Linked DNA regions of Drosophila melanogaster. The protein of the gene in region 2 purifies or fractionates together with the protein of the main gene of each other region. This does not show direct contact. Each region holds a gene or a part of one and is shown on either strand. Other genes may lie near its edges.

Region 1 (4,745 bases), on a different chromosome or scaffold from region 2:
ACACGGTCGGGGGCATTGGAACTGCTATGCCTTAAGCATAGATACAGATACTACAGATACTTGCAGGTAAACAGATACAGATACTGTGCGATACGATTAGATACTGCAGCTACGACTTCCTGTGCGTCTTTGTAACGCGCCAATGTTAATGTTCATTTTAATAGGCACGGAGTAATACTGTTTTTTTTTTTTGGCCCAAAAGCAAAGCCAACTCAATTAGCAGTCGAGTGGTGTGCGCAATTAAATTAAAATTTAGTTTTATGCCGAGCGCCTCTACCGGGAACTGCACGGCAAAAGCAAATCGGGAGAAACATATCGTATGCATGGCACCGACGAGAGATTAGCATCACAAACAGCACATAAACGTAAAAGTAACACACTCCAGAGCAAACAGAAAGAGATATAGATGGAGATACGGATACGTACTGTACGGATACAGATACATTAACAGATATACATAGATACATTGGCGGGGCATAAATTCTACGGAGGCGGAGGCAGGCGCAAGTGGAACTATGTAAACAGTAAATAAATGTCGAAAACAAGGTTCGGCATACTTAAGCAGGAGCAACGACCAGAGATACAGAGATACATACATAGGTGCTGATCGGAGATACGCCGCCTGGCATTAGCCAAATTGAAATTCCTCAAAGCCAGCGCTAATAACTTCCAGCTACCAGTTCAATTGGGCATTCTGGCATTCAGGTGGATAAGTCTCTGGGACACACAAACATGCACTTGTAACGCCAACTCTCGGTTGGCTATTCGGTTCTTCACACTTTGATGCCATGGCAATGCGGTCTGCTCAGCAATGTATCTCATAGATAGTTCTTCTTGGCGTTAACTACCTGCGTGTGGGAACGACTGAACAGAATGAGCAAAGAGAACCGAGAACCTCTGCAGACAGGTAAGCATTGGAGGGAAAAGTTGCAACATCATCGCCAGATACATTTGTATTCCAGTCGAGTTTGCGGCTGTGTATCATGTAATTGTGCGTAAACGCGTAAATACCAAGTCAAGGTCGGCTAATCAATAATAATTATTTTTCACTCAATTACACGAAACAGATATATATTGGGTACATTCGCTCGTTTTCGACTGATATTATCGGATTGTATTGCATTATTTGGTTATTCGGTCTTATTTTTGACTTCGGGTATGAAATATGCATAAACAAAAATATGTCGAGTATCTTGTGGATATCGGCTGTGGTAAATATAAATATACCTTCCATAGCCTTCACACAGTTTGGCCTCAGATGCGTGCCACTTGATATGGCAGTGTCGAGAAATCAGAATAACAAATGATGCCGCCGCCTGTGTATCTATGTATCTCTGCATCTGCGAGGTGCCAGATCCGATATGTAATGAACCTGGCGCGGCCAAAAACTTTATCCACGGCACGTCGAAAACTTTTCCGAGGCGTTGCTCAATGCGCAATCTTCTAATTGCAAACGGCGCCCGGCTGTTCGAGTGGTCATAGTTCGCCTCGAGTGGCTGCCCGCTCGAGGGTTTCACTCAGTTCAATGAATTTGCATATGCTTCTAGTTTCTGGCGGGGATTGAGAAGCGGATGGGGTCTAGAACGGACTAGAAATAAGAGAAACTGCAGCTGCGGGATGGCAAAAACTTTGGCTGACGCGCGATTTACTTGGTTGAAGTATGGAAGACTGATGGCGAGGCGAGGGTTAAGACAAACTCTGAAATCAAGGCAATGAATTTCCCGCAAAAGAAATGTTTTTAAACGGAGAGGATGCAAAAGTAATTAAATTGAAAAACCATTATCAATAATCCCAATTTATGTACCTCTTTCTTATTTAATGGAGTAGATAACTTAGACTTTAAGTATTCGAACCACTCTAGTGACCTGGGGAAATAACATACGTTTTCCTCTGCATAGTTTAAAGTTAGTACGTTTGCTCCTAAGGGGCCTTAACCATATTGGTAGCTTTAACTTCCTCCATCGTTCCCCGCTTCTTCCCCAGCCCGCATGTCCAAGTGCATACTCGATATTATAACTCTACGGATGGATGGCGTGAACTTTACCTTTTTCGCTGTAAGTCCCACTCGACTTGATGTCGATCGATTCGAAGTAGCTCTTGACGGCATCACACTGGTGGGTCGATCCCCCAACGGCGTCCTTCGCCCGCGAGTCCCGCTGTAGGCGACGTCTGTGGTGCGTGGTGGCGCTGTGCAGGTGGTGCTGGTGGTGGTGGATACCATCCAGGTCCAGGTGCTTGGCGGCTGACAGGCCGACGAAGCCGCAGAGCAGGGTAAATAGCAAAAGCTGCGCTAGCCGCACGCTCCTGGCCGCCATTTTTGATGGGTGATTTCTGTGTGCAGACACAGTGGATGATGGGGCTAAATTTGATTTGCCTTTGAATGCTTCTCTTATTTTTATTTTAGCCGGTTATTTTATTTACTCTATTTTGCAGCACTTCTTCGTATTTACTTCTGCATGCTGTCTGGGTGAACAGCTGTTCGCGGCAACAAACACACACACTCACACAAATGCACTTGCCGGCTAACACGCACACACACACACTGGCACACACGGCCACAAACACGAGCGCACAAAACAAAAGGCCCCAAAAACACGCGTGAGCAATAAACGTGGTAGTAAACGTGGGATGGCGATAGTGGGTGGTGGTGGGTGGTGGTCGAAGAGAGAGCGCGTGTCTAGCACTTTTTGCTTTTCTACTTTCTAGTTTTGAAAGGTCGCTAAATTTCTCACAAGTATTTTCTTAACTTATTCAGAGACTTTCCATGACATAACAACGAATAGTACTCAATTCCTTAGCAATTGATTTGCCAGCGATTAGATTTGTTTTTTTTTTCTTCTTTTTAATTTTCTCCTACGTTTTGTGTACTTAGGTCGGCGAAAATAGATTTAATTGCAAAGCTCCTTGGCCACCGGCGTTCTCAGGTCGAGGAAATGCACTCGCCTTCTTTTCTAGCGTTTTTCCGCTCGAATTTCGCACCGATATTTTCAGTTTTTCCGCGCGCGCAACGAACCTTCCACGACGAGAAACCCGAACAGATTGACTTTGCCATCGAAATCAAACATCCGCCCTGAGTGCTACAACTTTAACGATGCGAACACGAACCACACTCGGCACTCGACAATCGGCGCTAAGAGAACCATCCGAACGCTCTCTTTCGAACAAAAGAGAACGGCGAGCACAGATGTTGGCACAGTGGTGCAATGAATAGAGGTGTTTATGCGAACTCAATTTAATTCACAGGTTAACGCCGAGAATACATGAGTAATACAAGGGCGCAATCTGAAATGAATTAATTAATTTGAGTCTTTAGAGTTTTGGAAAACGAGCTTCGAACTAAACCACAAACTTTGTAATGCTTATTAGATATTATAAAGTATTTTAATTAAGGAATGCCCAACCACAATTTATAAGATGTTGTATTTATTAACAGCATGTAGTATGAGTAAAAGGGGAAATTAAAGTTAGTAACGCAAGCTTAGCTTTCGTAAGATATCTATTCTCTTCGATGATTGCCAAACGATTTCGACAGCCAATGAATCTACGTAGTTCCATAAAATTTGATATGACACATATCCTGTTTTCGTTTTATATATTTCAATAGTGATTCGCATTTATTTATGGGTTCCGGCATTCTTCAGGACCAACTTCGAGTTTTCCCTGGCCGTGTCATCTGCCACAGGAGCTGGCTTGATTCTGATTATTTTTCTCTGTGTCCGATGGGCCTAAATATTTATTCAAATTCTCGAAATGCTCTTCTAAAAGCTTTCAACGTTGGCTCGCTGCAATTTGCATATTCAACGTAAATCAATCCATCTCACAGTGGTCTTCTCGGGTGCTCCGGTGGCTTTTAATCCGGGCTTTTATCGATGCCGCTGGTTGAAATTTGCATGCTCGGTTCTAATTGATGTCTGAATGAGTTCTAATTTTATTTCATAGGCTATGTTTTACGATCGGCTTGATGAACCCGTGGAGCAGGCTCAGATTTCACGCCTTTGAAGAGTCTCAGATGCTTGGCAGCTATTTCCCTAGGGCTAAATGTTTCTGTTCAAATTGATAGCCGTGTCATGACCTCGCACAGCACGTGTGGTGGTATCGTTTGTTTTTTTTTCTTCATTTCTTTTCTTTTGTTAATTTTTTCCCTTTGCAATTTGCGAAAACGAAGCGATTGTCTTGAGGCTGCAGCGGTGTGGCAGACAATGCACGACCCGAACACACCAGCCTCTTCTCCCCGGACTTTCACTCGTCACCCCGCGGGCACCGACCTCGATCTTAAATACCTAGGCGTCTCGGGGCGTCTGTGTATCTATTTCTTCATTAACAAGATACTATATAGCCAGGGCAGCGGGAACTTCATGGTGGTCAGTTGCGGGCGTCCAGCTGGGCGCAAACGCCCTCCCACCCCCCATGGATGTTTTCCGTTCCCGGTGATATGTTCATCACGAAATGGAATCCTATTCAAATTAGTGTGCGATAAAGAAAGACCTCCCAAAAAATAAGAAAAAAAAAAGGAGAAGACTCAAGACCCCGGGGCAAACAGCGAAAAGTGAGTCATGCGAAGCGGAAACAGTTCTCCAATGAAACGAATCCACATCAGAAACAACCGTGATGATGATGATGATGATGATGGTGATGGGATGGCGAAACGGCAACAAAAAACAAAAACGAGCTGGAAAAGGTGAGGTCGAAAATTAAACACCACCACATCGTTTAGATAAAGTTATAAATTATAATGTACACTACGG
Region 2 (4,983 bases):
ATAACAAAGGTAAACAGGCAACGGCCAGCCAAGGAGCAGGGCAACTGAAAAAGCCTCGGTCGTGGGATTCGATCGGGATTGTCGGCTCAGCGCGACTGGGCTGAGAACCAGATGCAGATGCCGATACAGATATAGATACACGTACGCGCAGATACGGATTCAGATACAAGTACACCCGCCCCTGCCGCTGTATGCCCAACTAATCATTGTGTGATTCTTGTTTGTTTATTTGCCCGGCATTATGAAGAGACTTTTCGGTAGAAATTATTTATTGTCGCATGTGTTTATGTATCCGTAACCGAGTATCTCAGTTGCTTGAGCCAACTGTGTAGCTGTGTAGCTGTGAGTATAGCCCTTAAAGTGGCACCCAATCGGTCAGTTAGCTAGAAATTCAGATGATTAAATATGGATTCCCCTACATCAGCTAATTTCAACAGTTTGGGAGTAATAAAATCGAAATTGGATGCTACTAAAGGGCACATATTTACTTAGGCTTTTATCAACGTTGCATATATACAAATATCCTGCATATTTCGCAAACCAAAGATTCTTTCTCAAGTAAGGCCTAAACAATTTGAAATGGTTAATTTCGTAGATGTTGCTTTTTACAATTAACTTGTCATGTGGAATATACTTTACTGCCTAAAATTTAAGGCAGTTAAAATCCCTAGAAATGCAAATAACTTATTGCAGAAACGGGCTCTGTCGGCTGTATTTTGCTCTTATCTATGAAATATTGTCAATATTTTCCAGGCAAAGCACATGAAATAATGATCTAGACAACGGTTTCTCCCATTTGCAGTGAACTTAAAAATTAAAAACCCCCGAGACGTGTCTTCCTGCACAGAAAAAGAGACAATGGGAAGGTAAGTCACCGGGTGGGAGTCCCTGGGCCGAATCGATCAGCCCGTCGCATTGCTATATAAGCTCGGCGAAACCACAATCTGCAACAACAGTATCTCTCCAGTTGTATTCCAAGATGAAGTTCTTCGTTCTCGTGGCTATCGCTTTTGCTCTGCTTGCTTGCGTGGCGCAGGCTCAGCCAGTTTCCGATGTGGATCCAATTCCAGAGGATCATGTCCTGGTGCATGAGGATGCCCACCAGGAGGTGCTGCAGCATAGCCGCCAGAAGCGAGCCACATGCGACCTACTCTCCAAGTGGAACTGGAACCACACCGCCTGCGCCGGCCACTGCATTGCCAAGGGGTTCAAAGGCGGCTACTGCAACGACAAGGCCGTCTGCGTTTGCCGCAATTGATTTCGTTTCGCTCTGTGTACACCAAAAATTTTCGTTTTTTAAGTGTCACACATAAAACAAAACGTTGAAAAATTCTATATATAAATGGATCCTTTTAATCGACAGATATTTAAATATTATAATGATTTGTAATTATTACTAATTACTTTTTATGGAAATAATTGGTAAGAAGGAACTGGGACTGTAAAAATTTCTTAATAGTTAAGCTACTATTTTAATAATAAATATTGATCACAGAAAATTTTCAAAATATTTTATATTTCTTTGGCTTTATAACTTTCAAAGTCATAGAAGAACGACTTAATTATTCCTTGTGTATGTTCCTTAGTCTTAGTCTGTGAAAATAATCTGCGTTTATCATTACCAATTCGTACAACAAAATATCGGTCATTAGCGTTAGCGACTTACCATATAAGTTAACTAAACCTAATCGAGCTAAAAAAAAAATTGAGGTCCCGAGGAGCACGATCTATATATACCAAATATATACGTATATATTTACTTTGTTTAAAAAAGCTCTTAACGGGAGCAGTTATTGGTCTTCATGGCGATTCAAGGCAGATTTTAATAAAGAAATATTAAGCTCAGTAAACTTTACTTAAAAAAGCAATACAAATTTGAAATTCTTTTTAAATTTGTATAATTTCTCCCATCGATTGTTTGCGTTGTACTTTAATATAATTTGGTTACATAAAGCTTTTGCTGTAGTTTCCAAACATACAATGTCATATAACGGCATAATTAGTCAGTTTCTAACTGAGCAACAAACGGAAACAGCTTTCGCATATACTTTATTCCGCATAACTTTGAAAAGAAACAATAATATTTTCTATTCTTACGACAAAAATACTCATTATCATAAACCGGCAGCCTTTCAATTTACTATAAAACACGAATGCAACCTGAACGAGCTGGAACAGTTCTCGATTTCATATCACAACATGAAGATCACGATTATTCTGGCGCTAACTCTAGTTGCGGTTTGCTTAATGCAGGTTCGATCTATTCCGAAGGATTCCGAGAATAGACTTCTGCAAAAGGAGCTTCAAAGGAGTCTTATCCAGGATGCGAAGGAACATGTCCGCCCAAGGCGACAGTCCTGCATTGAGCGGTGCAATTCCCTCTGTTCGAAGAAGGGCTTTAAAGGTGTTTGTGTTAAAGGTTTGTGCCGTTGCACTTGATTTTAATAAGGAGATATATATTTTTCTATATATTTTTAAATAAAATCCACATTAAATCTATGTGTTTTCTATTTAAGATTGCGGTGCTTCTCGAACTCATTCATAGCTGAATAAATTATCATCGATCGCTTATCTCGTAGCCCGCGAATGCCACTTTCCGTTTGGCAGGGTCAAAAAATTGAACCTACGCTAAAAGGTATAGCAACAATTTGCATTGCATTTCCGTTTCTTTTGCGGCATTGCTCTATAAATACGGCAAGTCCGACGACTACAATTCGTTCTTATCAATTAACCGAGCAAACAAACAGACGCCAAGAAAAATGATCATCAGTGCAAGCGAACAAGGGGAATAGGGAAGAGAAACACGCGCCGAGAGAGAAACACGACACTTAATTAACGCCAATTATAATGGTTAATAAGAGTATGTAGAAATCGAGGAACGCGGCCGACTTGTGGGTTTCTTTTAATTTACAAACGCTTTGCCGGTTAATTACGCGAACCCCTCGTCCTCACATCTCGATCCGAAAACAGAGCAACCACTCGCGAGCGATTCTCCATTTGCACTGACTCTTCAGTTATCGGCTCACTATATAGTAGCACATCGGCTAATGTACATAAGTTTTCGATCTAGAGCTAAGAGAATACGAGAATTGAGATGCACATATGTATATAATGCAGCTCTCCCCCAAACTTAAACATTTCAACGTGCATCGTGCTACGATCAAGATTTGAATTAACGCGCGCACTTGACTATCGATATTTTTTTTGTTCAAACGATTTACAAATGTTAAACGACATCATTTTATGTGAATCATCAAATTAAATCTCTTAACGACAAGTACACATATTTCATTTTTAGCTTAAAATAGGTAGAGATGGTCACCTTAAAAATATTTGATAGCCAAAACTGGCGTTAGCTAGAAAAGTTCTATCGATAGCCGGGTATTATCAATAAGGTTTCTTTAAAACGTTTACCACAATTCTTGTGAACGCTGACCCAGACCCACTGACCGCGTCCCTCGTCACCACATCTTGGGCATAAATTAAGTAGAATTCTTCACTTATCGCTGCAGAGCATCAAGAACCACGTCGCTCTTAAGTCGTCGTAAATACAGCACACGTCTTTATCAACGCCGCACTTTTAAACGGAAGGCGCTTCTGCTGACGTGGTTAATGCAATTAGTTTCCACGCGTTAAACTATTAAACAATCAATTAAAAAGATGCTGACGAAGGCGCTTATCCTGTTCGGCCTGCTGGCCTTGGCCCAAGGTTACAGCTTCACCTCCCGCGAGGTCAAGTGTCACGGTAAGGAGAATCCACACATAACAGCGCGCCAGCAACAGGCGGCAGTGCACTTGTTGGCTGGCCCTGGGAGCCCGGATAATTGAGGTTCCATAAATTACAGTGTGCAAGGCCGTGGTTACGGAACTGGAGGAGGCCATTGCCAAGGAGGACCCCCACAAGATGGCCGATGTCAGTGGATTCCGGCTGGACGCACAGGGAAATTCGATCAGCAAGAAAGTTCGCCTAGTGAAATCTGAAATGTTCCTTACCGAACTGATGGAGAAGATCTGTAAGTAATTATTACCATATGGTACGGAATAGCATAGAGGCTTGATAAAGACCAGTCTAATCTTAAAACATTTGACGTTAGTCAAAAGTTTTACCTTCGAGCGTAGCTATTGTTTATCAATGAAGATAGTTATATGTGGTATTCTATTAATGATAACACTTTGCTTATCATTCCTAATATTTTCCCGTTCTAAGGCGAAAAAATGGACGACTACTTGAAGGCAACCTACAAGAGCAACGGGAAATTCACACTCCTCAAGATGATCATCAATGGTCAGATGAACCCAGACTCCTCGTTGGTTGACTTTGTGCAAGATGGTGATCTCAACAAAAGCCTGGGGCACTTCTGCAACGAAGTACTGGAGGACAACGATGAGATCTTCGTTAAAGCCTTCCAGGCCGAAGAGCTCGGAAACGATTTAGACATCAAGATCTGCTCAGAACAAGCGAGCTACTGCGACGAATCGCCGGTCCAGGAGGAGTATGACTTTGATGGCAAAGAGGAACTGTAGTTTGTCCCAGTGAAAGCTTAGTTAATTAACGAATTTCCTTGATCGCCGCCAGTGGAGGTCTTTGTACTGATATTTCGAACGAAAATTATGTTTAGCTAATGTAAAGAAAACCATGCCAAGTGTTACAAATTATGTACGACAATAAATTCCATGTGCAATGTATTTTTATTAATTTATTAACGAGTGTTCTATGTCATTTTGGGATTACTCATCCTTGCTGTAAAGCAAACATTAATAACGATACGATTTTATTGGATTACTCGGATTACTTACGGATCATTGGTTACATTACGAAGCATCTGATGGCGAATAACTAGGAACGGAGCCCCAAAGCCCACGACTCCCGCAATTAGGTAAAATAGTGTGAAACGCATTGGACTATCCAAGCCAAAGGGTAAGTTCTGTGAGGGAAATTGTAAGTTCTTAGAATGGTTAGCTGCGTGTTGACCTTGGATTAAC

Evidence for each region. Proteins that work in one complex are often made in the same cells at the same time.
Region 1: the proteins of magu (region 2) and dally purify together in Drosophila melanogaster (affinity purification with western blotting, with the first as the bait; one study listed by BioGRID). This does not show direct contact.

Annotation. Positions count from the first base shown.
Region 1 is NT_037436.4:8,825,803-8,830,547, reverse strand, and holds the start of dally (division abnormally delayed), read right to left. Parts: upstream 3,044-4,745; 5' UTR 2,316-3,043; coding exon 2,045-2,315; intron 1-2,044. UniProt on the Drosophila melanogaster protein: Cell surface proteoglycan that bears heparan sulfate. Functions as a coreceptor for growth factors and morphogens, such as the products of dpp, to regulate signaling and distribution of these ligands.
Region 2 is NT_033778.4:10,050,564-10,055,546, reverse strand, and holds the start of magu (magu), read right to left. Parts: upstream 3,007-4,983; 5' UTR 2,912-3,006; exon of another isoform or gene 2,552-2,911; intron 2,453-2,551; exon of another isoform or gene 2,154-2,452; intron 1,370-2,153; exon of another isoform or gene 1,259-1,369; coding exon of another isoform or gene 980-1,258; exon of another isoform or gene 971-979; intron 1-970. Other genes in the region: Def (defensin), read left to right, coding at 980-1,258; sel (seele), read left to right, coding at 3,661-3,745, 3,846-4,013, 4,208-4,524; COX7CL (cytochrome c oxidase subunit 7C-like), read right to left, coding at 4,729-4,741, 4,798-4,925.